Macaca mulatta: one gene and its partners. The protein of the gene in region 4 interacts with the protein of the main gene of each other region in a pairwise test. Links are inferred from orthologs where the notes say so. Each region holds a gene or a part of one and is shown on either strand. Other genes may lie near its edges.

Region 1 (4,288 bases), on a different chromosome or scaffold from region 4:
CATGTTCTCCACAAATATTGTCTGAAAATTAAATAATAATAAAACAAAACATAAGAGCTGAATCCCTCTTACTGGTCCAGATCCATGAAGTCCACAGTTTTCAGCACAATGTCTAGTTCATTTGTTAGTTTGTAATACATTCCTCTGCCCTTAGAAATAATTAAACTGATTGTACCCCAAAATAAATCTTACTAGACCTTGTTCAAGTATTTTTATCCTTGTAATTAAACTAGTCTGTTTACCAAAAGTTGTTTTGTTTGCAGATACTGTTAATATATTAGTCTTTACTTATAAATCTCTCTGCTGCAGAGAAAATGATGTGGAAAATGCAAAGAGAATAAGGAAAAAACTAAATTCAGGCATCTTTTTAGATAAATGTGATTGTCTACCAAGACTTTCCAAACACCACCTTAGTCCCTTAGGAAATGGATTCTGCAAAGATGAAAAATACATTTTCTTTTAATTTCTCTATGGAGATGTGATGAACACACAAGTAATCTGTGGTCATGAACAATTAGAGCTTGAAAGTTAGTCCCACTTCTAAGTATAAAGAATAAAATAAAAATCACCCATAATCCCACCATTCAAAAATCACTACTCAATATTTCAGCATATTTCCTTCTAGTCTTTTTTCTACTTTAAAAATCATAATAGGCCGGGCACTGTGGCTCATGCATGTAATCCCAACACTTTGGGAGGCCAACACAGGTGGATCACTTGAGATCAGGAGTTTGAGACCAACTTGGCCAACATGGTGAAACCCCTTCTCTATTAAAAATACAAAAATTAGATGGGTGTGGTGGTAGTAGGTGCCCATAATCCCAGCTACTTGGGTGGCTGACTCAGGAGAATCACTTGAACTGGAGAGGCAGAGGTTGTGGTGAGCCAAGATCATACCACTGCACTCCAGCTTGGGTGACAGAGTGAGACTCTGTCTCAAAAATAAATAAATGAATTTAATTAAATTTAAAAACATAGTAAATAGGCTATCTTTTTATGTTTAAGAAGTTTTTCCCCTCATCCCCAGGAAAAAAGTTTCTATTATCCTCCTGTCCTGCAATGTATTCATCCCCTTCAAAGGCAACTGAAGTCATCAACAGAAAAATCAAATGACGCTTTAGCCACTCCGCTGCTTTCTTTCCTACTTGGAGGATAAATTCTTCAATTAAATTAAAGATTAACAAGGCCTTGGTAATTAGCATGCATCCTCTTAGTTGCAAAGATGGCTTAGCTATTCTCAGCTGTTAGTTTTTTTACAAAGGTGCTTGCAGTGAAAGCGTCAAGTTCAAGACTTCTCTAAACCTCTGCTCTACATCTCTCTCTGTGTTAATAATCTTCCTGGTGTTAGATATTTGTTTAATGATCAATAGTGGCTTCTATTCCTATCACTGAGTATTTCAGAAAGCAGCATAACCAAGTCAATGTTTAACTGGATTCTTTGGGTCTGAAATGGCAAAGTTGAAGGGAAGTCTCCATGGAAACCAGCCTCCCAGGAAGTGGCCAAAAGGGTTAGTGTGCAGTGAAACAGAGCTAGAAGGATGCCATGAAGGAAATGACTGCTTTGTAAAGCCAGGGTAAACTTCTGAAATGCCTTGATTAAAACAAGCTATATTAAAGACCCCAAAACCACTTTCCTCGCAGCTTTCCTCTGAATGTCTTTCACATGAAATGGGCCTGAGTCACTCTAAGACTCACCCGAGGGTGATCAAAGTAGCACCTTTGCAAAACAAAGAGGTAGAGACTCCCTCAGCTGGCCCTGTGGACTTTGCATTCAATCAGAATTTGGAAGAAAAGACTTCACATTCACTGGCAAGACTGCAGGACCAGAATAAAGCCTTGGAAGGGCAGCTGCCACCTTTACAAGAAAACTGGTATGGAAGATACTATGCAGGTAAACATAAAACCCAGCATGAGATGTGTGTATCTGGACCAAGGAGCATTATTAATAGATTTATCTGACTGTCTCCATGATCTCAGAAAGTTTCTAAATTACTGAAATGTAGAGGAATTTAGGCTATCTTTGAAAACTCAAATCTTTCAAAGAGGATTGAATGTCAATTGAAAGTATTCTGGGTGCATTAGAATGGGAGTATAAACTGTACAAAGGGCTTTTCACCATTCCATATGAGAAGGATAAATCATTTTGTTTCAGCTCAGTTTGTAATGCTTTCAATATTTATACCTAGCTTTGACAGACCATTAAAATTATATAGATACTAATGTGATAAATGATAGCAATCGCATTTCAGTTAAATTCTAAATTTAAATCATTCTCTCCAGTATAGTTTTATGCACCGGGCTTTGTGGTTTTGAAAGCAGCACTTTAAGAGTGAGTTAATTCTAACATGAATTTTGAAACCACCCTAAACAGAATTGATTTATTACAGTACATTGGAGTGGATGAGTCACCCTTTTCCCAACCCCACATTCTTCATGGTCATCTGCAGAACTAACAGAATTCTTTCCCACTATGATTGGAAGCTCTGAGCCTGAAGTGGCTATAAATTATCCTGGAATATTTTATAAGCCATGTAAAATGTTTTATCATGACCACAATGATAATTAAACAGACATCTTCACTTAGAAAAATATATGTTTATTTTTTATATATATATATGCATATGTATATTGTTTTCCCTTTCCTTCACCTTCTGGATCAATAACACAAATAAGTTTCCCTTATTGGATGCCTCATTCAGAAAGCCTCACATTCTCTTTTGGTACCTAGCAAATCTTGCCTGGAATGATTTTTCATGTCTACTGTCTGCAGAATTGATAACCTTTGGTTGTTTCTATATGGCCTATTTTTATGTTCTTTATGGTCTTCAAGTTCTTAAGCACATAGATGGGAATTTTCCCCTTAGGAAATTTTTTATGACAGACGAATAGGTGACAAGACACGATTTAAAAAATGGAGGGTGAATGTGCACTAAGAGTATGCAATGCTCCTACTGAGGAATTCCCTTTTTATCCAAATCCCCATTGAGAGTTTTAAGATTTTGGTGATAGAGAGAGACTCTGTTTCAAAAAAAAAAGATTTAGGTAACTGAATAAATGGTGAAAGCTGATTCATGTGCTTTAGAGTCCCAACTGGAAAACATGCTTATGTCTGAAGTGACAAAATCACATTGAAAATAAATAACAAGGAGATCATGAGGATTCTCATGATGATCTCCCATATTCTCACCGCAGCTCCATCAAATACCAAATCGAACGACCTTGGGCAAGTTACTTCATCAATTTTTTTCACTTGTAATCAGGGGTAAAAATAAATGCCTGACACAGCCTATGCCATTTGAGGAGAATCTAATTAAATAATGGACTAACATCACTAAAATAAAAAAATAAGGATTAGTAAGATTTCTGAAAAAATAGCTGAAAATACTTACATTTTTAAATCCAATATGTTTGTTGTTTCCATCCTGCTCAATATGCTGGCATCTTTTCAAAAGAAAATAAGGACATAGTTTGCATACCACTAAAAGTCAGAGAGAACAAAGTCCTTAAAGCGGTCATTCACATGTCTTAAAGAGAAAGATGCATAATTATCCATGGATTTTTCCATTTAAAATGCAAAGTGGGACTGTAAAATACTCTGTGAAACAATCTAGAAATCAGAATGTGTCCAGATTATTAAAAGGGAAAGACAAGAACTGCACTCATGCAGCGTTGGTCATGGTAGCACTCCCAAGAGCTCAGGATAATCAAGCTGGAAAATAAAATCCATAATGGATCTGTTGAGCCTCTCTGTTTCCTAATAGAGGCTTAACTCTGTATCCCTGGCTTGTTTCATCAGGAAAGAATATTGATATGCTGTATTATAGTGGCAATCTGTGGAAATTTTTTTCACTAAAGGGGCTATTGAATTGTGTTCACACATACTCCATTTCTGTCTCATCTCTGTATAATCACCTATCTATCTATCTATCATCTATTTCATCTAAGAAGATTATTTTCATTTTTTAAAGTTATATATTTTTCTGATGTCTTATATTTCAGTGAGGAGATTTTATGGAATTAAAACAAGTCAATAAATTTCTATTTTCCAGGCCAAATTCTGTTTGAAAAATATTTGCAGTCAACATATTGGTAATTTTGTAATTCTTCCCCTAAATATGAACCTGAGTAGGAAGTTAGGAGAGCAGATATTAAATCCCAAGTCTAGACTAAAACAGTGTCATTTGCACTAATGTAGGTTCCCTGCTTTCTGTGTTTCATCTCCACATTCAACCTACAGGTTAGACATATATAACTGGAAAGGTACAAAATTGTGTTGATAAAGTCTAGT
Region 2 (3,026 bases), about 32 Mb from region 4:
TGTTAGAGGTGACAGGGTTGGGTCATGGCCAGCAGCTCCAGCCTCTTAAGCCAAGGTTCATGAGAGGAACCCCTGAGACCTGGTGTCAGGCCTGTTCTCTCTCAGTATATGCCCTGGGAAAAGGACTAATGTCCCTTTTCACAAAGGCTGGTGGGAGATCACCAAAGACACCTTGAGACCTTGCCATCAAGTATAGCACTCAAAAAGTACAGTATTTTTAAACTTTATGGAGTGGAATGGTCTTTTAAAAAACTAGTTTTTTTTTTTTTTTAACTAATGTATAAATTCAATCTAGAAAACCAGAGATGGGCCACTGTGATTGAAGGCGGGCAAGGGTAGCCTGAGCCTCCTCCAGAGCTCCTGGAGCAAAGCTTGAATGAAAGTCACTTATCCACTAGGTTGGCACTTACCGGGAGAAGTGCAAGGGATGCCAAGATGTCTAAGGCTTTGACTTTGGTTTGGAAAGAACCAGGTGAGATTCTAGGGGATTCACTCCTGAGTTAGTCGGCCTCCGGCAGGGCTCAGAATTCCAGGCCTGCCACATGTATTGGGTGCTGCTGGCAGGTCTATGTGAGCTGAGCATCACTTGCCGCACCCTGGTTCCAGCCAGGCCCCAATAGCTTGACCTCACAAGATAAAAAACATTTTCACCATCTTACATTTCGTGAATTTAATTCTATTAAGGTAAGGCTTACTACATTCAAAACTCCAACCCCCTCCCTTTTTTTCTTGCCCCTTAACAAGGCACCAACCGGTTTTCTTTACTAACAAAATGTCAGTGTTCAAGTTCAGTCTTGGTGCCAGATCGATGGCAGATGTCAAGGGCTGGCCGGGATGGCTTACATTGATATCACTGCAAGTATGTCCTTCTCATAGATGTCAGGGATGTCACCTACCGGCGAGTTGATCATGCGCACGGTGTTGTTACTAAACAGCTTGAATTCGTAATTGATGAGCTGTTCCCAAAAGCCGTTGTTGGGCCGGATGATGGGGCGGCGCGACTTGGTCCATGCATGGGCGTCCAGCAGCGACATGGAGTGGTATTTCATGAGGTACGCAAGGCACAGTGAGGCGGAACGGCTCACTCCAGCCACGCAGTGCAGCAGCGTGCGGCCCTGCCTCATATCCACGCTGTGGATAAGATCAGCAATGGGGTCAAAAAAGTCGCAGAGACGAGAGTCACGAGCATCGGTAACAGGCACCTTTACGTACTGAATGCCCTCAAAGAACACATTGACCACTTCCACCGAGGCATTGACAATGGCGGTGATGCGATTGCTGGACAGAAGGATTTTGTTGTTGGCAGCTACACCATTGCTGAGAAACAAGCTGCTGGTTATTTGGGAGAAGCTGTAGATGGAGGGCTGTTGGAGACCCTGAGATGATGAAAAGGACGCGGATGCTGTCATCAAGGCGGCTGGTCCGAGGTCTCTCTATGCTGGTTCAGGGCACAACCCTTACCAAGCTAGTTCAGGATTGCAGCCGCGCCGCGAAGTCTCAGGCTAGGTGTTGGAGAAAGAGGACCGGCCATCGGTCACCACCCTCTTCCTGTCTCCTCCCACCACTCCCATCTGGGCGTCACAATCTCGGACAGATAGCCCTGCGGCTGTGGTTTCCATGGCAATGGCCGCTTGCCGCAAGGAGGACAAGGCCTCTAAGCAGGGTCTTCAGAGACACCCCAGTCTGTTTTATTTTTATCTTTCTTCATAGTCATTTATTTTCCAAGGCCTAATTCTTATCTTTCTTGACTTTTAAAAATGTTCTGTTACAAGATATCTATTTTATGTTTCAATTATTGGACCACATTAAACACAGTATTTACGAATACTTCTATTTCATCAGTGTTGCAGAACAGGGCTTACACTTTCCCTGCAAAATAGCAACATCACATTCTAAGTTGGGGAACAGCATTTGGCTCATGTGATACGCTAATCTCTATAAAACTGGAGCGAGATATGGGATTTGGCTGGGCTTGGTGGACTGGCCTGATATTTCTTTGTTGATTGCAACCATAAAATTTTTTTCCTGCTTACAAACACATCAGGGCTGGTTGTAAGGGAGCATTGCTAACTGATATATAACCCTTTATCTTGAAGTTGGCCTGTGGTGGACAGTTGTGACTAATTTAGCTGTGTCATAGTCCGTTTGTACATACAGCTCAAATGACTGAAACAATAGTTCAAATTATTTTGTTTACTTTCTTCAAAAAGAATGCCCACATGCTTTGTGAACTACAAATCACTTTGACCACTACCAATGCTGTCTTCCCAGTAATATTACACATTCTGGAACAAGTTAATGCTACATGGTAATTGGGCCAAAAATTGAGACAGGCTTGCTCTGTCATCCAGGCTGGAGAGGCCCAGGCCTCTGCCTCCTGAGTTCAAGTGATTCTTGTGCCTCAGCCGACCAAGCAGCTGGGATTACAAGAGTGCGCCACCACACCCGACTAATTTTTGTATTTTTAGTAGAGACAGGATTTCACCATGTTGGCCAGGCTGGTCTCAAACTCCTGACCTCAGGTGATCCTCTCACCTCGGCCTCCCAAAGTGCTGGGATTACATGCAAGAGCCACCGCACCCAGCCCAAAAATTAATTTCTAAAATGCAACCTGACATTTGCATTTCCTTCCAGCTAAGATTTTTATAGAATTTGGCTGAAAATTGAAAAGAACTATAGCCTAAAACTAACAAACTGTTTCGCAGAGCAGCCAATTGACTCACATACTTTGCTCTCATTCCATCATCATTTTGGTATGTGTTCAAAGGTGTGCTGTGATTATGAACAAAGATGAAGTAGATATCAGGCTGCTTATGATGGTCAAGGAAACGATAACCTCAAAACACAACACATATTTCTTTTTCTCGGTTGTCATAATAAAATTAATTTGCATTACTTAAATTGTCAGTCCCCACAAATCTATCTGGAAGAAAATAGAACACAAATACTAAATAAATATGAAAACTGTCTGTTGGGGACAGCTCAACCTGGCTAAGGGAGAAGCTTTGTAATCTATGTAGTAATGT
Region 3 (4,490 bases), on a different chromosome or scaffold from region 4:
AATTTAAAAATTAGCTGGGTGTGGTGGCGTGCATCTAAAGTCCTAGCTACTTGGGAGGCTGAGGCAGGAGCATGGCTTGAGCCTAGGAGTTCCAGGCTGTGGTGAGCTATGATCACACCACTGCACTCCATCCTGGGCAATAGAAGAGAGAGAGCGAGAGAGAGAGAGCACCTGTCTCTAAAAAAAATGTGGGGGAGTGGTTGGGGCAAAGGGAAATAGTATAACATCCAGGATTTGGTTTCAAATAGTCCAGCAAAATACAGCTGGCTCCCACATGTCATTTCATTGAATGTCATTTCATTATAACGTTGATGATTTTTTAAAAATTAATTTTGGGTTGGGACCACCATCCGTGTGGAGTTTGCATGGTCTCCCCATGTCTGCATGGCACGTTTGAAAATTTTCATAATAATCCACTTTTTTTTTTTTTTTTTTTTTTTTTGGTGAGACATGGTCTCATTCTGTTGCCCAGGCTGGAGTGCAGTGGCACAATGTAGGCTCACTGCATCCTCAACCTCCTGGGCTCAAGAGATTCTCCTGCCTCACAGCCTCCTGAGTAGCTGGGACTACAGGTCTACATCACCACACTCAGCTTTTTTTTTTTTTTTTTTTTAAGACGGTCTCGCTCTAATCGCCAGGCTGGAGTGCAGTGGCACGATCTCTACTCACCGCAACCTCCGCCTCCCGGGTTCAAGTGATTCTCCTGCCCCCTGAGTAGCTGGGACTACAGGCGCATGCCACCACACCTGGCTAATTTTTATATTTTTAGTAGAGATGGGGTTTCACCATGTTGGCCAGGATGGTCTCAATCTCTTGACCTCGTGATCCGCCCGCCTCGGCCTCCCAAAGTGCTATTTTTTAATTTTTTGTAGAGATGGGGATCTCGCTATATTGCCCAGGCTGGTCACAAACTCCTGGGCTCAAGGGATCCTCCCACCTCAGCCTTTGAGTAGCTGGAATTATAGGTGCACATCACCATGCCCAGCCAATTTTTTTTGTTTGTTTTGTAGAGACGAGGTCTTGCTATTATATTGTCCAAACTGGTCTCAAGCAATCCTCCTTCCTTGACCTCCCAAAGTGTGGGGATTACAGGCATGAGCCACCACCGGGGTCCGGCAATAATCCACTTTTAAAAATAAGGAATGGGGGGAATAATAGTACCTTCCTCATGCAGTTGCTGTGAAAACCAAAGGAGAATGACAGCCACAGCCGCCCCGCAGCAGGGACTGGGCACTTCTGGGTGGGCATCCAGCACACCTCCCGGCCTGTGCCTTCCGTTTCTTCTGTGTGTCTCTAGGCCAATGGCAGCAACTGACTACAAGTAAGGGAATCCCTCGCCTCCCTGCAAGCTCCTCCCCTTTCTCCCCGAGCCCCGCCCTCTGCAGCCCCTGCCTGCAAGAGTGGGGCTGGGCCCGGCAGGTGTGGGGTTAAGAGAGTCTGTTTGGGGCCCCCAGGAGCAGCAGCCTAAGCAGTGGCTGCAGCAACTGCAACAGCAGCGGCTGTGGCAGGCCTGGCCCCGGGCCAGCTGGCGGGAAGCCCCAGGAGGGAGGGAGGGAGGAGGAAGGGGAGGAGGAGGGGAAGGAGGAGGAGGAGGAGGAGGAGAGGAGCAGTCAGCAGGCCCGAGGAGGCAGGACTTCCTGGTGTGGGGGTTGTCAACAGCTCAGAAGGAGAAAGACGGAGAGGCAGAGACCCAGGGGAGCGGAGGAGCGGAGACACGGACCCAGCGGGGCCACGCGGGAGGAGACTCGAGACACCCACTCGCTGGCTGCCACCGGGAGCAGCGGGGGGCTCGGCCGCCCTCTCCCACATCAGTCTCCAGACCCCTGGGGCTTCAGCGGCCGCTCCTGGGCTCCTCGGAGGAGCCGCGGGTTCCTTCTTTTCCGGAGAGCAAACTTTCCTCGGAGATGCCTCCCAGGATGAGCTGAGGCCCCCGGAGAGGACGGGGCAACCTCTGATCGCCGCCTGCGTGCCCCGCCACTCCCCCTGGCCAGAAGGCCCCAGGGAACGCACAGCCCGACCTCTTAGGCGCCGGGACCCTCAGGCTCAGATCAGTGGCTGAGGCCCCAGAGGTAGGATTCGGGGCTGGGTGGGGCGCTGGGGGTAGCCGGGCAGGGCCTGCCCCAGGGATGTGGGAGCTGGGGTGGGCTCGAGGCCCAGGAGAGGTCTCTCTGAGTGGCCGGGCCAGGCTGGGGAGCTGCTTCACCCCGGTTCTCCCAGGCCCTGGAGTCCAAGCTCTTGGGACAATACCCGCCCCCTGAGTCAGAATCTCAGATGAGAAATGCACAACTCTGGAACTCATCTGCCTCTTCCTACTCTGAGCGCCTTTTTGGATCTGGTCCCCTCTGCCCTGGTCTCTGTCATCTCTTGCCTGTCTCCGGGTCTCTGACGGTTTCCCCTTCCCCCACTCTGCTCCCCGGAGAGGAAGCCCCGGAGGTGGCCTGCCCACTGGTTTCACACACACACACAGACACACACACACACTCTCTCTCTCCCTCTTTTTCCAGTTTGCAAACTCAGCTCTGGAGTTCAGCAGCAACAGCAGCAGGAAAAACCTGCCCGTGCTCCCCCCTCCCGCCACCTCCCCTCTCCTCTTCTCCCCTCACCCAGCAGGCACCCCGGGTTCCCACCAGGCCCTCCTGCCATGTCGGACCCAGACGTCCCCAGGGGCCCGGATGCCCCCACCATGTGGCCCCCTTGTTCCAGGGGTGCCTGAGCCCCTTCAAGGAGTCCCAACCCACCCCCAACCTTGGCCCAGCCCTGAGCCCCAGGGACCATGAGCGGGGGCAAGAAGAAGAGTAGTTTCCAAATCACCAGCGTCACCACAGACTATGAGGGCCCGGGGAGCCCAGGGACTTCAGATCCGCCTACTCCACAGCCCCCCACCGGGCCCCTGCCCCGCCTGCCCAGTGGGGAGCCCAGCCCTGATCCGGGGGGCAAGGGCACCCCCCGGAATGGCTCCCCACCACCTGGGGCCCCCTCCTCCCGTTTCCGGGTGGTGAAGCTGCCCCACGGCCTGGGAGAGCCATATCGCCGTGGTCGCTGGACGTGTGTGGATGTTTATGAGCGAGACCTGGAGCCCCACAGCTTCGGCCGACTCCTGGAGGGAATTCGAGGGGCCTCAGGGGGCGCCGGGGGCAGATCTTTGGATTCCAGGTTGGAGCTGGCCAGCCTCGGCCTGGGCACCCCCACCCCACAGTCAGGCCTGTCTCAGGGCCCCACCTCCTGGCTCCGTCCACCCCCCACCTCTCCCGGACCTCAGGCCCGCTCCTTCACTGGGGGACTGGGCCAGCTGGTGGTGCCCGGCAAAGCCAAGGCAGAGACACCCCCACTGTCGGCCTCCCCACCCCAGCAGCGCCCCCCAGAGCCTGGGACCGGTGAGAGTGCGGGCACATCCCGGGCTGCCACGCCCCTGCCCTCTCTGAGGGTGGACGCGGAGGCTGGGGGCTCAGGGACCAGGACCCCTCCACTGTCCCGGAGGAAAGCTGTAGACATGCGGCTGCGGATGGAGTTGGGTGCTCCAGAGGAGATGGGGCAGGTAAGACCTGGGTTCTAGGGCTCGCCCATCAGCCCTGGCCTAACCTCTATCTTGGGACTCCCTCCTCCCACCCCTTCTCCTCCCCTTCCTTCTCCCCCTCCTCCTTCCCGTCCCTTCCCCTCCCCTCCCCCTCCCCCTCCTCCTCCATTACTTGTCTATCAGATCAGACAGCCCTCTTCTCTGTGCCTGCCAGGTCACTCTGAAGCCCCTTCCTCCTCCTTCATTTTCTGTCTCAGCCTCCTTCCTGTTTTTCTGCACCCTCTCTCTTTCTCCCTGGCCTCTGATTCTCTGTCTTGGTCTTCATGTAGCCTATAGCATATGTGGCCCCCTCACCAGGCCTTCTTCTGTCTTGGTCTCAGCCCCTCTGCCTCTAGGTGATGAGGGTGGAGGCCTCAGCTGGGTAGCTGGGTCCCTGGGGGAGGAGCTGCCAGGATTTGGGGAGGAAAGGTAAAAGGTAGGCTTTGCGCGCTGCTAGTCTCTGCACTGCAGCCCCATCCTGAATGTAGGGGTCTTTCTTTTCCCCCAGCCACCCATCTCAGTCCTACCTCCAGCTTTGCTGTAGGCCAAGTGTCACTGAGAAATTGGGTGGGGGGAACACCTCTCAGGGATGGGGAGGGGGCTTGCTGGTTGATCCTTTTCACCCCCCAGTTGTCTGTCTCAACTCCCTCCATCTGAGCCTCTCTGTGATTGATAACTCCAGGGTGACCACCATGGAGTGGGGGAGAAAAGCCCCAGAAGGAGTTCAGTCCCATACTCTTTCTCCTTCCTGTCTCCAAAAGAGGAACAAGTCCGGGCTGGGGGGGCAGCATGCCTGGGTCCCCGTGGTGGGGGTGAGCAGCCAGAGACAAAAGGGTGGGATACTTCTGTCCTGCGGGGAGAATATAACACCTCGGAGGGCTGGGGAAAGGCAGGGGGTGTGAGGATGCGAACTCTTTCCCCTTCCTGGCCTTGGGCA
Region 4 (3,853 bases):
TTAAATAGAAGATATTTGTATTATTTGTGTAATCAAACACAAACAAGTTTTTAGAAAGACGTTTTGGCAGAGGAACTAGTAAATTTCTCATGTCATTTCATGTAACTTCACTGGATCTCAGTAACCAATTTTTAAAGCTTACAATCAGTTCTGGGAAAAACATAAATTAGATATTAGGAGAGAAATGATTATCTGACTATAGGTGTTAATAGAAAATGTTTATGGCTTAATAAACTGAAATTAAATTAAATCATGTAATATTGACAAATTAAGCTTATTTAGACATTTAATAACATTACCTGAATTCAGATATGCTTTTATCTGGCTTATTTTGTTCACACTGAAATACATTTTAGTCCCATTGATCAATAACCAGTTTTTCTGTTCACATTGCTTAAAATTGTGTCTCTTTGTACAGAGAATCTGTTGGGTTTCATTTCCTGACGATTATTCATGAACGTTTTAAGTCATCAGAAAATACTGGAAAAGTTCTGCTACTCTATATTGACATGCTTTTACAAAGGAAGGAAGAACTGCTTGCCAAGGAGAAGATTGAAGAAATCATTTTAGGTCAGTAGGATTTTCGCAAGTGTTTTAGAAAGGTATTAATTTGTGTATAATTCTTAGAGGTCAGAGTAGTAGCAAAATCCTCAAGTCAACGGATTTCTTCCACTTTCTTTTTTCCTTCCTCCCTAATGGTCTTTTAACAGTAACACCTCACCTGTCCACATCCCACAAATTGGGCAAGTGGAATGAGAAACTAAGCGAAAATAAGAAAACATTGAAAACAAACAAACTTCTGAGCTTAAAGCTCACATATGGTGGAATATTGTAATGTTACAAGCCTAATTTCATATCTCTAGTTTGATCTCAATTTAGCTGTGTACCTTTGAACAAGTCAATTTCTCTGGACCTTGATTATTTTCAACTATAAAATGATGATTGTGAACTAAACTCCTGGTTTCTAATTTCTTTTCAGCAGCAGCATCCTTTTGTGATGCAGTCTTGTATGAACCCCACCCTGAATGGAATAGATTAGAGTTTTTCTGGTTAAAGCAGAGATGTAGAGCCAAATCTGCTCAGCATTCCCCTAATCCTCTGCCTCCCTGCAGAACTTCTGTACCCTGAAGAACATAGATAGTATGATCCCTTTCTTAGAAAATTATCTTCACCACCTTGTCTTTCCAACTAAGTGCATGTAGAGATATAATTGGATTGATAGTCACTAAATGTTAACTCTGGGGTTTATTCTGAATGGTGGCATTTTAGGTGATGTGTTGCTTTCTTCTAAATACTCTACCATATTGTTTGAATTTTTATAAGCACGAATCATGTTTCTATAAAAACAAAGTCATTAATTTTTTAAAGGAAGTCATCTGACTAGATGATCTCTAAGAACCATATTTTACTGATAACACCCTCCCTCCAGGCATTTACCAATTATTTTTAGACCCAGTTTTGATAAACTTGGTTATCCAGTTTTCCTACTCTTAGCATTTTAATGGTAGCACTTTGCAAATAGAGAAAAGGTTTAAAGGGAAGTATACAGCTAGCCTGACCATAGGGAGGAAAAAAACTCTATCAATTTTATAAAACAGATACAAATTTTTTAATATAGCAATCTGTACTGTATAACAACTCCCAAAGGCATCGCTGTGATATATTAATAGTACAATACAATAAAATAGTTGTTAATGTTGACCTCAAATGGTCAAGAAAAAGTTACATTGTGCTTAAGAAAACTAGGAAGTTTGTTTACTTTTTAGAAAATTTAAGAACTTTCATGAAAATATTTAGACTTTTTAAATTCAGAAGTGATTTTTATTTAAAGAAAGTAAACTGCCAGTTAACCAGAAAACTTGATTGTAGAGAATAACTCATTTTCCTAAAATTCCACTTGGACTAAGTTTTATTGTGACATCTAATTTACACTTACACTCTCAAAGTATTATAATATTTCAAGTAGACACATTTAGTAGCTGTTTACTCTCATGCGAGTGTTTTTAAGTAAGTCATGGAACAAACTACATTTGCTGATTGGGCTAGAGGGTCAGAGATTCTTAATGTTCTAGTCAAGACTTTTGTGGAAATTGATAGTTTATGCCAAAGGGCAGAAGAGGAGGTACAGAATTCTATTATAGTTTAGACTTTACCTTAATGTGCTAATGTATTTGAACTCTGTAAATGTCTAGACCAGAAACAATCAACGCAAGTTAAGATTTAAAGTAATAAAGTTTATGTGTAAGCATGGTCTTAAAGTATTTTACAAAGGCTTTAAGGCATAATTGGCCTTTCTTGTGAACTTGATCTGATCTATTTAGTACATAATAATATAAGCACTTCTTATTAATGATTTCTGGCATTGCTGTCTGCTCATTCACAATAACCTTATTAAGGCACCAGATGATAATCTAATTTGGAATGTGGAAAATAAGTTAAAAAGAGAGTAGGCTGGAAAACTATCACAGATTGATGGGAGAGTGACTGTGATTCTAGCAAACTCTGATTGCATTATATTATCAATTATGGTAGTAATCCTAAAACTGATGGTGAAAACCTGTCTGAATTTTTTTTTGTGTAGCCATTACTTAAAGATTATAGGTTCTGAGTATAGTTAGCACTCTTTACTTAATGTAATAGACCTAGATTCTTGTTTTCAGAGCTTTCTTTTTTATTTTCAGCTCACCAAACAGGAAGACAACTGACAGCAGAATTAATGAACTGGTTACACAACATTCTGTGGAGAAAAGCTACCAGTAGTTTTGAGGTTTGAGAATAATCTCCTTTTCATTCTTTATATTATTTCTCCACTGCAACAAAAAATAGTGCATTCACTATAAAAAGAGCATCAAATACTTTAATAATCTGTCTGTTTAGATACTATATATTTATTAAATATTCACAATGTAGAGTGTTAATGAGCATTGTGCAAGAGTTTATTAAAAATAATGAGACATGATTCCTCTCCATTGAGGGCTTACAGTGTAGGGAAATGTCATTGCTGATATTAACATATAGGAATGTAATTTTTTAAACATGAGGGCTGAGAAATAGTTTTATTCCCTTTAAAAAGTTATGGTGTAATAATAAAATGGGGAAAAAAAAGCCTTTACAAGACAACTCAGGTTTCCTGCAAACTTAAAAATAATTTTTTTAAAGCAAAGAGCAATCATTTATAATTTTGGTATATTTCCTTCTAATCTTTGTGTATTATACATTTATGTCCCTGTGTATATAAATCAAATGGGACTTACCATTAAAAAAAAAGTTGTGTTTGCTTCCACTTGCAATTAATATGTAGTAACAGGGACTGTTTTATGTCCCTTCTTGAACAATAAATCCCTCTCCACAAAGGACAAGACAAAATAGACGAAAAGAAAAAACAATGACTTTTATGGCACTGAACAACAGGTAATGAAGGAGAATGGTCCCTGGGAGATAAGAAATAAAGCGAGCATTGGCCGGGCACAGTGGCTTACGCCTGTAATCCCAGCAGTTTGGGAGGCTGAGGCGGGGAGATCACAAAGTCAGGAGATCGAGAACATCCTGGCTAACATGGTGAAACCCCGTCTCTACTAAAATACAAAAAATTAGCCGGACGTGGTGGCGGGCGCCTGTAATCCCAGCTACTCGGGAAGCTGAGGCAGGGGAATCGCTTGAACCCAGGAGGCAGAGGTTGCAGTGAGCTGAGATCGCGCCACTGCACTCCAGCCTGGTGACAGAGCAAGACTCTATCTAAAAAAAAAAGAAAGGAAGGAAGGAAGAAAGAAAGAAAGAGAGTATTACAATTGTGCAGCTTACTGCTTTGAGTTTCCAGGATATAGCACAAGAAGGGGATCTGAAGCAGAGCCTG
Region 5 (4,465 bases), on a different chromosome or scaffold from region 4:
CAGAGTTGGGGGCACCCAACTTAGCTTTTCCGCGTCCCCTACTACCATCCCCAGATCCACCGCCGGGGAGAAGCCCGCTCCGAGGTGAACGGTGAAAGGGGCGCAAAGTTTACACGGGAACGCCGGCGCAGATGAAGGCGCAGGTGCCAGTCATTTTTAAGGCAAAAATTCTGTATTTCGGGACGGTGGCATTTGTGGCCCCCTGGGAAAGGGATAGGCACTGTTCCCTCCTGGTATCCACCGGACCCCGCAGGGCGCAGGAAAGCCCCTCCACCCCTCCCCGGTGGTCACCTGCACGCACCTGAGGGCGCGCCGGAGCCGCCCTGGGGTCTTCGGGGGCTGCTGCCAGCACCTGCGGTAAAGGGGCGGGTCAAGTTCAGAGTCGGGGCGAGGCCAGCTCACCCTCCTGGTGACCCCCACCCCCATACTCACCTTGGCTCTTTTTCCAGACGGCGGCGCTGGAAGCCGGCGGCCCGGGTGCAGCGGCCAGGAAGGGGCACAGGCGCGGGGGGCTTAGGCCAAAGGGCGCAGGGATCAAGTAGGGCACGAACGGTCCGGTGGCGGCAGGGGCGGGGGTCGTGAAAGGTTCCAGCAGCGGGAACTGCAGTCCCGGCGCTGACGCGAGGTCAACCTCCGGGGGACGCTCGGGCGCCGGCGGCTCTCGGTCCAGGGCCGGGGGTGGTGGCGGGGCTGGGCTCTGCGCATTCTCCACGCAAACATGTAGATGCTTGAAGAGCGAGCGGTGCGTGCGGAAGCGCAGGAGGCAGTTCTCACACCTGGGGGTGGGCAGAGAGCTGGGCTGGGCCTCCAGGGAGACCAGAGAGAGGGTTCTGTGCAATGCCACCCGCCCTTCGAGCGTGGGAACCGAGCCTGGGCACCAATCGCCTCCCCGCTCCCGTACAAGCGTGGCAGCGACCCTTCCTGACCACTACAGGTGCTGGTTTCCTGGGGAAACCCGGAAAGAAGTCTCAATTTTAAGTTAGGAGGCCGGTTTTCCACTAGGGAGGTAACGCCTCGCGGGGTGGAGCCACCCCCACTTATGCCCCGCCCCATCCAGCGATGTAGGGGCGGGGCTTCCCCCAAAAGGCCACCCACATCAAATCCCGCCCTCCAACACCCTGACCAGGAAGGGAGGAAGGCCTGGAGCCCACACACAGGGTGAGGCTAGGGCAGGGCGGAGCTCAAGAGGTCAGGGTCTCACTTGAAGTAGCGATTGGGCTTGTAGTGCAGTTTGCTGTGAGCCACCAGCTCCTGCATGCTGGGGAAGGTCTCGGTGCAGCTCAGGGCTGAGCAGCGGAAGAGCTTGCCTGGTAAGGATGAAGACAGAGGAGTGGAAAGGGGTGGTCAAGGCTGGCTCCGAGGGGCTCCACCTGTTTCCCACCCTAACCTGCCTCCCCATTACCGGTCCTGGCCCTACCTTCCAGGGACTGTGTGGGCGGACAGTGGGTTCGAAGATGCTGTGCCAGGTCACGGACGCTGGGAAAACTGAGGGAGCAGCCAGGGCTGGAGCAAGGGATTTGCTTCCCTGCAGGACGCACAGAACAGGGGTCACTGGTCCCTTCCTCACTAGTGCTGTCCCTGACCCCAGGGCTCTGCCCCAGAGAAGCAAATATGATGCTGGGGCCTCTACTCTCTGCCTACCACAACAAACTGATCTGCCACAGTGCAGGGGCTGGATTGGCCACGCTCACCATTGGAGCCACAGCCTGGCATCCACTGGCAGCACAGTAAAATGATGAGTGGCATCCCTCTAGAAAGGCCCTTAGGTTAGAGATTCTCTACTTCTTGCCTCTATTGTTCCAGGGCCCGTGACTCCCCAGAAGGTCCCATCACAGATCACCTGGAGGTGGGCGTCGTCTGGGAGGCCGCAGGTCCTCGCTGGTCCCGGAGACTATGCTGGTCGGGCCAGGGCTGGGTCCGGGGCCAGGCTGGCAGCTGTCTGGGGCTGGGGAGGAGCCCTGCTGCATCCCTCCAAGCCCTCCACGTTCCCACACTGGTGGTGTGGCTGCCTGCTCAGGGCCCGGCTCCTCCGCCATGGAGGAGGAGGTGGCGGCAGATGGCACAGCCGGGGACAACAACTCCTTGTCGGTCTCACTGGAGCTGGGCTCTGCAGTGGCCGGCATGTCTGGGCTGGGTCCTGAGGGTTTCTCCTCCTGGTGGAAGGAAGAGGCAGAGATAACCCTTCTGGGCTCTGGGTCAACCCAGTCAGCCCCCATCCTAAGGAATCACCAGCAGGAGAGGATAGGGGAATACGTAAGGTTGGACTAAGCTCCTTTTTCCTTTTTATAAAGATGGGGGTTTCGCCATGTCCCCCTCGCTGGTCTTGAACCCTTGGTCTTAAGTGATCCTCCTGCCTCAGCGTCCCAAAGTGCTGGGATTAAAGGCGTCAGCCACTGCACTGGCCCAGATTGAGCTTCTTATGTACATGGGAGAAGCATCTCCTCAACTAGGATAAGTGGGAGCCCCAGTATGCGACACAAGCGTGGCCTACAGGGAGTGGGCGGGGCCAAGAATACGGAGGCGGGGCTATGGGCAGGGAGCGACTGGGAAGATGCTAGAGGAGCTACACACGGATTGTCTGAGGACCGAGAAACACTGGCCAGCTGCGAGCCGTGTGGACAATCTTGGAGGTGCTAGGAACCCGCATGTAATAAGTTTTGGGGCGGAGTCCTAGCCTGGTGGGCGTGGTCCATTCCGGGCCCGGCCCGGAAGTAGGGCGCTCTCCGAGTGACAGCCAGCGGCAGACGGGTGCCCGGATGTGGGGGCTGGGTCGGCCGGAGGATGTATGCGCGACAGGGCCGCTTCCCGCCACTCCCCGCCGCTCCGCCGCGCCCGCGACCCCGGTGCCGCGCTCACCATCTTCGACACGGCTCGGCCTCTTGTTCCTGCGGCTTCGGCGGCTCCAGCTTAGGCGGCGGCCACCCTCTGGGCAATGCGAGCTCGCGCTCACGTCAGCGCCATTTTCCGTCTCTCGGCTCTCGCGAGGTTGGAGGCGGGGCCTGCGCAAGGCGTTCGGATAGGGGGCGGGGCCTGAGGGCAGAGTGAACGTGGAGTGCAACTTGGACGCTGTTGGAGTCTTGCTATCCCAGGGTAATCAGAGCGCACTTCAGGCGACTCCGTGAACAGAGGTCCGGGTTCAAAATGGGCACCTTCATCCCCTCTAGTCTTGTCCCAACATCAGCCCTGGACAGGCGATAAACAGCAGTTCTTATTTTATTTATTTATTTATTTTTTGAGACGGAGTTTCGCTCTTGCTGCCCAGGCTGGAGTGTAATGGCACGATCTCGGCTCACTGCAACCTCCGCTTCCCGGGCTCAAGCGATTCTCCTGCCTCAGCCTCCCAAGTGGCTGGGATTACAGGCGCCCACCACCACGTCTGGCTAATATTTTGTATTTTTAGTAGAGACGGGGTTTCACCATGTTGTCCAGGCTGGTCGTGAATTCCTGACCTCAGGTGATCTGCCCGCCTCGGCCTCCCAAAGTACTGGGATTACAGGCGTGAGCCACCGCGCCCGGCCAGTTCTTCTTTATTTTTTATAGTGTTGAGACAGGGTCTTGCACTGTCGCCCAGACTGGAGCGCAGTGATGCGATCATAGCTCGCTACAGCCTTGACCTCCTGGGCTCAGCCGATCCTCCCATCTCAGCCTCCCGAGTAGCTGGGATTACTGGCGTGCGCCACCGTGCCCAGCTACTTATTACATTCTTTTTAGAGGCAGGATCTCTCTGTGTTGCCCAGGCCGGTCCTGGGCTCAAACGATCCTCCCGCCTCGGCCTCCCAAGTGTTAGGATTGCAGGCGTGAGCCACCTCGCCTCCCCTTTCACTCACATTTTAAAATGGGTAAACAGCATCGCTTGAGCCAGGGAGGTCGAGGCTGCAGTGAGCGTGATGGCACCACTGCACTCCTGCCTGGTCGAAAAAGCAAGACCCCATCTCTAAAAGTGAAATAAAAATAAATTAAAATGGGGAAATAGTATATCAACAAGTGCAAAAACAATCTTTTGTCCTATTCATTGCAATGAAGGAAACAATGAAATGTGGAAGTGATGGGTCAGGGAAGCCACTCTGAGGAGGTGACTTCGGAGCTGTCTCCAGATGATCGAGGAGTGAGCTGGTGGAAAGCCCGAGGAGCGGGGGCTTTACCGGATAGCTGGTGCAGATGTCCTGGAGTGGGGTGGGACGGGCTTATTTTGGTCAAAGAGCAGCGAGGAGATGAGAGCACCACTGGAGTAGAGTGGAGCGGGGGTATGGAGGTCAGAAAGTGAATATGGTGCACGGCAGGTCATGCAGGGCCATGGGAGTGGTGCAGAGAGAGGAGTGTGGTTTCTGTTGTAACCACTGATGAATTTTTAGCAGGGGGAGGCGCATCATCTGATTCCTGGCAGTCACTTGGAGGAGGATGGGCTGTTGAGAGGGTAGTAAGGTAGACCTAACATCTTAGATCTCTATGATACATCATGCTGCCA
Region 6 (4,341 bases), on a different chromosome or scaffold from region 4:
AACTTGTACATGAAACAAATACAATCTGCAAGACGGAATAAAATTAAATGCTAAATTGAGAACAGTCATTTAGAAAGTCTTTCTGAAAGAGATGGGAATATATTTAATTTCTGAAGGATGGGCAGGAGATGGCATTTAAAGTACAGAAATCATCAAGCACAGGAACAAATTTGGATATTCATGGGGCAGTGACCAACCTGACTGAAGGGTGGGTGCATGTTTGAAATCAACGGGAATACATTTGAATGATAGGAGAAAATACATTATTAAGGCTTTGCCTCTAATCAGAAATAAAGATATTCTCTATTTTCCCAAATAAGGAATTCTTACATAGAGCTCAATGTATTTAAACATTTTTAAATGGGCCTACAGAAAAGAGGTGGGGCTGACGGAAGTAAATAATGAAACCTGAAGATAAATTTAAAAATATATTAACGTGGGCTCAATTTTCCATTGTTTTTGGAACTTAGTTTTGTTTTTGAATAATAAGCAGTTAAATAATTAAAGCTTTGCCTTGGCAGTGCAAGGACTGAAGATTATTTTTCGGTGGCAATTTTCCAGACTTGCTAGTTGTCCTTGGGTCTTGGTAACATTCTGCTCATTAACTTCAGGAAGACATCCAGGAGTAAAGATGCATTTGAAAGTGGCTGAAAATAGTTTGTAAAGCTCAGCTTTCCTGGCTCGACAGTGAAATGACCGCACAGGCAAGTCACTGGGTCAAAAATCAATTAACGAAACAGGGGAAGTTTTCATGTCTTTATTTTTACATTAGCGCGAAAATCACAACCAAGAAGAAAGGCAACCACTGAATAGAGGAAATACAGTATTGTTATTGCTGTTTTTTCTCTCTTGGCAGGCTGGGTCGGGTGCCTTCCAGCCTCTCTGTGGATCCCGCGAAGTGGACGGTTCGCTCCGTGGCTTCTTCCCCGACCCCGCCACCGCGGAAACGGTCACTCGGTGGCCCCCGACTGGGTCAATGCGAGGACGCCCACCTCCTACCTTTGAGCCTCTCCTCTTCTCCAGGGGACAGCCAACTCTTTCTCCACCCTAGCCGGAGTCCGAGAGTTCCAGTCCCGCCCCTCCAGCCCGCCTCAAGCCAGGTGGGGATGCGCCCGGCCCGGGCCGACGCTGGTCCCGGCAGTTCCGCGTCTGCGCAGCGGGCGAGGGGCTGGAGCGGGGCCGGCCGGGGAGGCGCAGGAGACGCGGGAGCCAATGGGCACGCTCGGGGGAGCCGGGCTGGCGGCGGCGGTGGCGGCCAGCCGGGCGCGCACTCTCGGGATGGAGGGCGAGCGCCGGGCATCTCAGGCGCGCTCCTCGGGCCTCCCGGCCGGGGGCGCCGACGGGGAGAGCCCGGGGGGCAGCGCCCCCTTCCCGGGCAGCAGCGGCTCTTCCGCGCTGTTGCAGGCGGAGGTGCTGGATCTGGACGAGGACGAGGACGACCTGGAGGTGTTCAGCAAGGTGAGGGCGGCGGCGGCGAGTCCCGGGAAACTTCCAAGGCAACTCCGGGAGTTGCCAGCATTGCGCCGACGGCTGCCTCTGGCGCGCTCGCCCTCCCGGGGCGGCGGCTCTGAGCTGGGGACGGGTGAGGTCCCCCGGGCTGCTGGATCCCGCCTGCCAGCTCTGGCCGCAGCCGGGGCCGCGTCGCCTCGGGGCCTCAAACCGCAGCCGCTCCCTCCTCCGTACTTTGACCTTCCGTGTGGCGGGGCTGTGGCTTCGTGGAGTCTGCAAAGTTGTGATTTGTTTTCCCTTTCTGCTTCTCTGACACAGACATCTCCTCGCGGCAGCTCCCGAACCTGGGAGGCTAGTGGCTCGAAACCGCCCCCGCCAGCTGCTTTTCGGGCGAGGCCAGCCCTGAACTCTGGGAGAGAGATTAGCCGAGTTTAGAGAAATTATTCTTAATTTAGTGTTGTTGGTTGTGGATTTGAGACTTGGGTGACACCCGAGGTAAGTCTCAGGTCCTGTGGGAATAGGTTCGAGGAAATCTCCCTGAACAGGAGAAAACGGTTGTTTCTAACAGGAAGCTCCTCCGCTGAGGAGCTAAGAATTTTTCAGATGGTCAGCTACTGCCACCCAACCCACAGCCGGCGCTTTCGTTTTTCCTTGCCCCCGGGAAATTTAGGACCAAAGGCTCTTCTTTCCTTATTTTACAGTTGGAGGGAAATTGACTTGTGTGGGCTAGTGGTAGACTTTTGGTACGTGTAGACTGGTGGCTGTAATTTCTTAAAGGGTTTTAGAAAAGAAAAATACCTTTCTTGCAGGGAGGTTGAATGTCGCTCCAGTTTCTCAAGTTGCTGCTGAGAGAAGACCTGAGTTCAGATCACAACGCTGTATTAATTACTAAGAAGCCTGTTCATTTTAATGTTACCTGGAGATGTTAGGTAAAGCAAACGACCTCTTAACCACCGCATTTACTCTGGGAGAGCAAATCCAAGTTAGGAAGTGAACATGCATACTCTGACTCCAAAAAGGAGTATGTAAAACTTATTTCTACTTCGGGTTACATGGAATGATAGGCCCAGGTTTGTATTCCGAATATTTAAACAGACTATCACAGTTTTGTGCTCTTGACTTTTCTATTAAATAGTAAAACAATGGAATTATTTTATATTTAGTTGTAAAAGGTAAACGCTGCCTTTTTATATTCCACACATACTTTATGTTCAGATCAACAACAATTGGCCAGTTAGTGATTTACTTTCTTTTCTTCTTTACATTGCTGTTTAGACAAGAAATATTAGTCTATGGTGATGCATTGTGCAACTTTCAAAATGGAATGGATGGGATCTTGGAAATGGCAATATTGTATCAGAAAAATCGGGGTTTCTTTCTGTTTTTCTTTTTTTTTTTGTCCAGGCTGGACTCAAACTTCTGGCCTCAAGGGGTTCTACCACCTTCAGCTCCCAAAGGGTTTGGGATTACAGACTTGAGCCAAAGTGCCTGGGATTGTTTTAAACCTGTCAAGCGGTTTCTCTTTCCCCAGATTCTAAGTGTCCTAGCTGGCTCTTAAGAATCGATGTTTAAATGAGGTCCTCTCGTCAGAGGCAGATCTAAGGTGAAGCTAATGAAATTGAAGCTTCAGCGCTATTCGTTTGCTTAGACCTCTGGGCGTGTTGGGGGTTACTGGAGTTGCAGATGTTCTAGGTGGGAAGGAAATGACAGGTCCCAACCAGAAGCATTTCTAAATAAGCATTTCTGGTGAATTGCCTAAAGCTCTCTCAGACTAAGGAATGTAGATCTCCATGGCTCCAATCATTTATTGAGATTTCTTTTCTCATCTGAATAATTTGTTTTTCCACCTAATTTTGTATTCTTTTAAAAGTGGACCTTCCAAACTCTATGAGCCCGTACACCTGGGTCCACCCTGCTTTTTCGTGTTAACTGCGCGTCTTGGATGCTTGGAAAAAGTTAAGAACAACGTCTGTAGAAACTGCCCACATAGATTAAGGCAAAGATAATAATATTAGTGAAAATCCAAAAAGAATAGTTGGAAAAGTTTAAACTTAGCCACTTTTATCCATTTCAGTAAGTTGAATTTCTCAACCGTTATCTGTAGTTAAGCAAGCAAATTTAAGAAAGGCTGCTCCACGTGGCCTTCCCTTTCCACTACTCCCTTCCTTGCCTGCTCTTCTATAAAGCAAACACCACTGCTGTTCAGCCTACCCTAGGATGGAATCTCACAATTACTTACGAAGCAGACTGTCCTCCCCTTTAGTACTTTGAGGTTGGCAACCTGCATATTCAATTTACATTCACCTTTTTAGTCTCCTTATTCCCTTAGATTATTTATGAATATGTGCCTGGTGCCCTCTTCCAGAAGCTTTTTAAAGAGTATGAATTTTCCCAGCACTTTGGGGGGCTGAGGCGGACAGATCACTTGAAGTCAGGAGTTCGCAACCAGCCTGGCCAACATGGTGAAACCCCATCTCTACTAAAAATATAAAAATTAGCTGGGTGTGGTGGTGGGAGCCTTTAATCCCAGCAACCCGGGAAGCTGAGGCAGGAGAATCACTTGAACCTGGGAAGCAGAGGTTGCAGTGGGCTGAGATCACACCACTGTATTCCCTCCTGAGTGATGGAATGAGACTTGGTCTCAAAAGAAAAACAAAAAACTTCGTATTATTTCTTTTTTTTTTTCCACAACATATTACAAGTACATGACAAATACATATTTTTGTGTTAAGTATGATTAAAAAAAGAAATACAAGATTTAGTTCTTGCTATCACAATTTTACAGTTCAGGTGGGAAGATGGGACAGAAACTCTAAATGGCAATACAAATCAAGAGGGATGGAAAGTAAAACAGAGTTGTTCTGAATTTTCATATAATCCAGTGAGCAGAAA
Region 7 (4,438 bases), on a different chromosome or scaffold from region 4:
CTAAGCATAATTTTAAAAATTTAAGGAAAGAAAAGGGAATAAGGAAGGAATTTAGACTTAGATCACTGCAAAACTGCAAAAAGACGTCAAAGAGATCTTAAAAGCAACCAGAAGGAGGAAGGATGGGAAAGAGGAAAGGAAGAAAGGAGGAAAAGAAGGGAGAAAAAGATTGAAAGTACTTGATTTTAGATGCAAGTAATGAAAAAATTAACTAGAAACTAAAAAATTCTAATTCTTATTCAGATCGAAGTAAGGTTCCGCTGAGATTCATCATGATTCATCATTCACGACAGGGAAGTTTCCTGCTTAAGATGAGTGAAAACCTTGAGTAAGAGTATGTAATGGAGAAGGAAAGCAGGGAACACACACACACAGTTTCAACTGCAATCTGAAAAACAGAAAATGAAAAATAAATTATCAACTAATGACAATTTCCCCAGAAAATCGAAGAGCTAAGAAGAGAGGAAAACAACACCTAGTATTTATTGAATGCAAGAGTTTTTAATAAAAACAATGTAAAAAGAAACTGAGTAGGGACGTACTAACTATATCACAGGAAAACCTTCGCTGGGAGACGTCGAAAAGTAGAAAAAGAACGCCCAAGACAACCAACCTCGAATATGGACTATTTACTCAACATAAAGTTACTGCTATTACAGCCTATTCGAGATGAAGGCTCCATCCGTAATTCATGGCTGCTCACTATGATGATGATGATGATTATTACTATTATTTGTGGGTGCACATTGTATGTATAGATCAATTACATTAGAATGACGATTAGACGGACTGCAAACTACAATATGTAAGTGGCTATTGACACTATTTGTGCATCTTTTAATCTGGGAAATGCATATTCACTCCACAGTCTCAGTATAAACCATTTCAAAATTACACGTAAGACAACCAGGTGTCTCTCTTATATTTTAGGAGTGAATAATGAGGATAAATTCCAGCAGAGAGTTCTGGTTTAAGTAACCCAAATTCCCCGAACTTTGCTGATTATCCTAGCGTTTAGAACCTTTGCTATTTGCCTGGCACTTCTTGAAACCCATGACTCACAAACGCCGGGGCATGGAATCACAGCAAAGAACAGGTGAAAAGTTGTTCCTAGTTGTGTTATGCAGGCGCACACAACTCCCGCCATTCTCTGTGCAAAAATCAACAAATAAACAGAGGCACCGCATTTCGGATTCTGTTACGCACTGTTTGCAATGGCGCCTGGTATTGGTAGTTTCTACGAGGGGAGCCGCCAGCGCGCCAACCCTTGCTCAGCAGGAAGAAAACTACATTTCCCACAAAGGCACGGGGGCGAACACCGGCCGGCTTACGTCATTCCTTTAACCAACCAATAGCAGTTCCGGGCGGCAGTGAGGCAAGCGCCGTCAGGCGCCAAAGTGGTTTTTTTTTTTTTCTCTTTTTTTTTTTTTTGCCGGAGTCGAGCGGGTGCTGCTAGCGGAGGCGCCATATTGGAAGGGACAAAACTCCGGCGACAGCGAGTGACACAAATAAACCCCTGGACCCCCTTGTTCCCTCAGCTCTAAGGGCCGCGATGTTGTACCTAGAAGACTATCTGGAAAGTGAGTGCGCGGCGCTGGCGGCGGCCGCCGGTGGGACCTGCGGGAGGGCAAGAGCGCGAGTGGACGGGCAGCGAGATGGCGGGAGGGAGGGGGCGGCGGGGGATGTTTCTCTCTCACGGTAACTGGCAGCCTCGTTGTGGGCTGCCGGCCCCCTCGACCCCCCTGACGCACGCGCGCAGTGACGTAAGCGCGTATTTCGCCGTTGGCCCCGCCCCTCTGACGGACTCTCCCTTTGACAGTGATTGAGCAGCTTCCTATGGATCTGCGGGACCGCTTCACGGAAATGCGCGAGATGGACCTGCAGGTGCAGAGTAAGTCGGCGCGTCTGCTCTTCATGTTGGCTGCGCGCGTTCAGTGCCAGACTTGCTTTTCATCACTGCTAGCGCCTAATGCTCTTTCACTGTCCTCTGGCTCACTCCGCTAGTGCATAAGGAGTTGTCAAAAAGAACTGGCAGCCCTGAATCTCGCCTTTTCCTTCCCTCCCATGCTACTTTTTTCTGGCTTTTGCAAGAGGAGGCGGCATTGGGACAGGTGTATTCCTTTCTAGAATGTAGGATTGTGCAAAAAATATTTCTCTACCGTCATTGAGATAGTTATCTATGTTTCAATGCACGTCAGCATAATAAATGTTGAGATGTTGTCTTGAGCCTTTTCGTATCGAACTTAGATTTCAGCATTTATACTTATTTTAAAGTTCATCCTATTCAGTTTTTCAAGAGTGGAGAGCATAGAAGCACAGGTTATATATAGCTCTTTAGAGACCCTGGCGAATGTCAAATTTTGAAAACTTAGTTACACATTATAAGGTACATTTTAAATTGTAACAGAATCGTCATTTTCTTGGTTATAATGAGTGACAGAAATTAGATTTCACTGTAAAGTTTCATATGTGCTGTACTAAAAATTTTAGCAGTTAGTGAACATTTATTTTTCTTTCAGTGATAGCTTGGTAGTCTCTGTGACTTTTTCCCCAAATTAACTTTACTCTTTCGTAGAGCAAGGACTATAAATAGGTGGCTTAGGGACCACTTGCTGCAGCTAAGAACCTGTCCTTTTCACTGCCCCTGTCTTCTCTGCCCGTGACCACACACCCACTTCTATACCCTTTGTTTATGCGTATATTTTTCCAGTAAGTTTCAGGTGGCACATAATAAAAAGTGGTGGCATGGAAGCCACCTTCTGTTCAGTGGATTGTGGTATGAAGTATGAATTGTGTGTGTGGTTCTCCAGCTATCTCACAAATTCATTTTAATTTTAGTGTAGTCGAAATGCTAAAGATTTGCTGAAGTATTTTCTGCAGGACTGAGCATAGACATGGATGTCAGATAGATCTGAGTTTGTTTTAGGGCTTTACTAATTTACTCATTGACTCTGACTGTATTACCACTTGTGTGGGGCTTTCATTGTCTGTAAAAAGAGAATCATCTAAGGATTTAAAATATTACAGATGGATTAGAATTTATAGTATCTGATACAAAGTAGGCATTAAATAAAGGGTAACTTATTTTAAATTTATTTTTATATTTTGTTTAAAATTTTAAATTCTCATAATTTGGGCTTACAGTATACATATTACAGGGTTTTTAAACGTGCATTTCTTTACAGTAACGAATTTTCTGAAGTTAATAGATATTATGGATTAACAGAACAGTGTGCCAAATAAATTCAGAAATGCTTATTTAAACAAAGGAAGATACTGAAAATTAACCATAGTACTTCACAGAGTCTTTAAAAGGCTATTGTGGACTGAAAATCTCCAAAAGAAGTATGCTATGAAAAGATTTTTCTCAACTTACGTAACAACAGAATCCTTTTTATTAATTTTTCCTTTTTTTTAAGCAGACATCCAATGAGATGATTAGTCTTAGCACTTAATTTGGGGAAAATTTATCTAGAATTAATGTTTAAATGATTGCACCTACTACTTTCAGTTGGGATATGACATGATGAGATGTTTAATGCCTTATACCAAATCTTTTTATCACTTTTTCTTGTTGAAAGAAATGTGAGGATTATCTAATGGTGTTTTCATTGTGTTTTGGTACATTTGTCTGATTAACACCTATAGCTTTTGACCCCAAGGCTGTATTGCTCAAAAATTATAGGATAGAGCCGATCTACTTTGTTGACTCTACTTTGGCTATTGGAAAAAATTTTGAAATAACAAAAACAAAAATAATCTGTCAATAAGGAAAATTGTAACTTTTTAAAGGAAGGTAATTGAGGCTTTATATATTTACATAATCAAAGCATAACATATTTAAGTTACTGGCAAAGTGAAAGAGTATATATTGTCAGATTTTTTTCCCTCCCTAAATCAAACCATGTATATTTAGTATATGAATTTGGTCATTTAATATGATTTTTTTATTATGTCATAGATGCAATGGATCAACTAGAACAAAGAGTCAGTGAATTCTTTATGAACGCAAAGAAAAATAAACCTGAATGGAGAGAAGAACAAATGGCATCCATCAAAAAAGTATGTGCGACACTTTGGATAATTTATCAAGAAATATTGGGACCCTCTGAAAAAGATATTTCAAAATTAAATAGTGATCTGGATATCAAAATAAGGGAATATTATCAATGACTCTTTAGAATGTAAATAATTTAGTGTGGTTTAGAGCTTCAGATAGCGATTTTTAGTCATTAAAGCATTTTGGTAATTAAAAATATTGTTTCAATAATTAGTGACTATTAGAAAGTGACAGACCATTTAAAAGTTACATTTTTTTTCTATTTGTTTTATTCTAGTTGTGTATGATTAATGTTGAGTCATTTCCAGAGATGGAGTACTGTATTCCAGTTTTGTCCACAAACTAGCGTAAATAAACATCAGCAGACCTTGAAGAATA

What was found.
Region 1: the proteins of TEX11 (region 4) and CCDC198 interact in binary tests that used the Homo sapiens proteins (3 or more experiments, as listed by UniProt). The two-hybrid records come from large-scale screens. The link is inferred for Macaca mulatta from reciprocal best matches to the Homo sapiens genes TEX11 and CCDC198.
Region 2: the proteins of TEX11 (region 4) and DUSP21 interact in binary tests that used the Homo sapiens proteins (3 or more experiments, as listed by UniProt). The two-hybrid records come from large-scale screens. The link is inferred for Macaca mulatta from reciprocal best matches to the Homo sapiens genes TEX11 and DUSP21.
Region 3: the proteins of TEX11 (region 4) and TSC22D4 interact in a two-hybrid assay, tested with the Homo sapiens proteins (2 studies listed by BioGRID and IntAct). The two-hybrid records come from large-scale screens. The link is inferred for Macaca mulatta from reciprocal best matches to the Homo sapiens genes TEX11 and TSC22D4.
Region 5: the proteins of TEX11 (region 4) and ZNF414 interact in binary tests that used the Homo sapiens proteins (3 or more experiments, as listed by UniProt). The two-hybrid records come from large-scale screens. The link is inferred for Macaca mulatta from reciprocal best matches to the Homo sapiens genes TEX11 and ZNF414.
Region 6: the proteins of TEX11 (region 4) and SNX7 interact in binary tests that used the Homo sapiens proteins (3 or more experiments, as listed by UniProt). The two-hybrid records come from large-scale screens. The link is inferred for Macaca mulatta from reciprocal best matches to the Homo sapiens genes TEX11 and SNX7.
Region 7: the proteins of TEX11 (region 4) and ING3 interact in a two-hybrid assay, tested with the Homo sapiens proteins (2 studies listed by BioGRID). The two-hybrid records come from large-scale screens. The link is inferred for Macaca mulatta from reciprocal best matches to the Homo sapiens genes TEX11 and ING3.

The regions. Positions count from the first base shown.
Region 1 is NC_133412.1:130,593,931-130,598,218, reverse strand, and holds the start of CCDC198 (factor associated with metabolism and energy), read left to right. Parts: upstream 1-1,409; 5' UTR 1,410-1,668; coding exon 1,669-1,891; intron 1,892-4,288. UniProt on the Homo sapiens protein: May be involved in tuning the metabolism, energy expenditure, and excretion processes.
Region 2 is NC_133426.1:44,816,605-44,819,630, reverse strand, and holds DUSP21 (dual specificity protein phosphatase 21), read right to left. Parts: upstream 1,530-3,026; 5' UTR 1,410-1,529; coding exon 840-1,409; 3' UTR 752-839; downstream 1-751. UniProt on the Homo sapiens protein: Protein phosphatase component of the sperm flagellar doublet microtubules. May act as a regulator of sperm motility by mediating dephosphorylation of sperm doublet microtubule proteins.
Region 3 is NC_133408.1:47,677,395-47,681,884, reverse strand, and holds the start of TSC22D4 (TSC22 domain family protein 4), read left to right. Parts: upstream 1-1,648; 5' UTR 1,649-2,069; intron 2,070-2,504; exon of another isoform or gene 2,505-2,607; 5' UTR 2,608-2,773; coding exon 2,774-3,535; intron 3,536-4,490.
Region 4 is NC_133426.1:77,171,527-77,175,379, reverse strand, and holds part of TEX11 (testis-expressed protein 11), read left to right. Parts: intron 1-418; coding exon 419-570; intron 571-2,681; coding exon 2,682-2,767; intron 2,768-3,853. UniProt on the Homo sapiens protein: Regulator of crossing-over during meiosis. Involved in initiation and/or maintenance of chromosome synapsis and formation of crossovers.
Region 5 is NC_133424.1:9,363,855-9,368,319, forward strand, and holds the start of ZNF414 (zinc finger protein 414), read right to left. Parts: upstream 2,981-4,465; 5' UTR 2,860-2,980; coding exon 2,857-2,859; intron 2,154-2,856; coding exon 1,841-2,153; intron 1,526-1,840; coding exon 1,418-1,525; intron 1,308-1,417; coding exon 1,202-1,307; intron 777-1,201; coding exon 433-776; intron 353-432; coding exon 292-352; intron 203-291; exon of another isoform or gene 1-202. UniProt on the Homo sapiens protein: May be involved in transcriptional regulation.
Region 6 is NC_133406.1:141,583,625-141,587,965, reverse strand, and holds the start of SNX7 (sorting nexin-7), read left to right. Parts: upstream 1-1,267; 5' UTR 1,268-1,278; coding exon 1,279-1,458; intron 1,459-4,341. UniProt on the Homo sapiens protein: Involved in the regulation of endocytosis and in several stages of intracellular trafficking. Together with SNX4, involved in autophagosome assembly by regulating trafficking and recycling of phospholipid scramblase ATG9A.
Region 7 is NC_133408.1:160,720,447-160,724,884, forward strand, and holds the start of ING3 (inhibitor of growth protein 3), read left to right. Parts: upstream 1-1,432; 5' UTR 1,433-1,552; coding exon 1,553-1,580; intron 1,581-1,819; coding exon 1,820-1,891; intron 1,892-3,961; coding exon 3,962-4,062; intron 4,063-4,438. UniProt on the Homo sapiens protein: Component of the NuA4 histone acetyltransferase (HAT) complex which is involved in transcriptional activation of select genes principally by acetylation of nucleosomal histones H4 and H2A.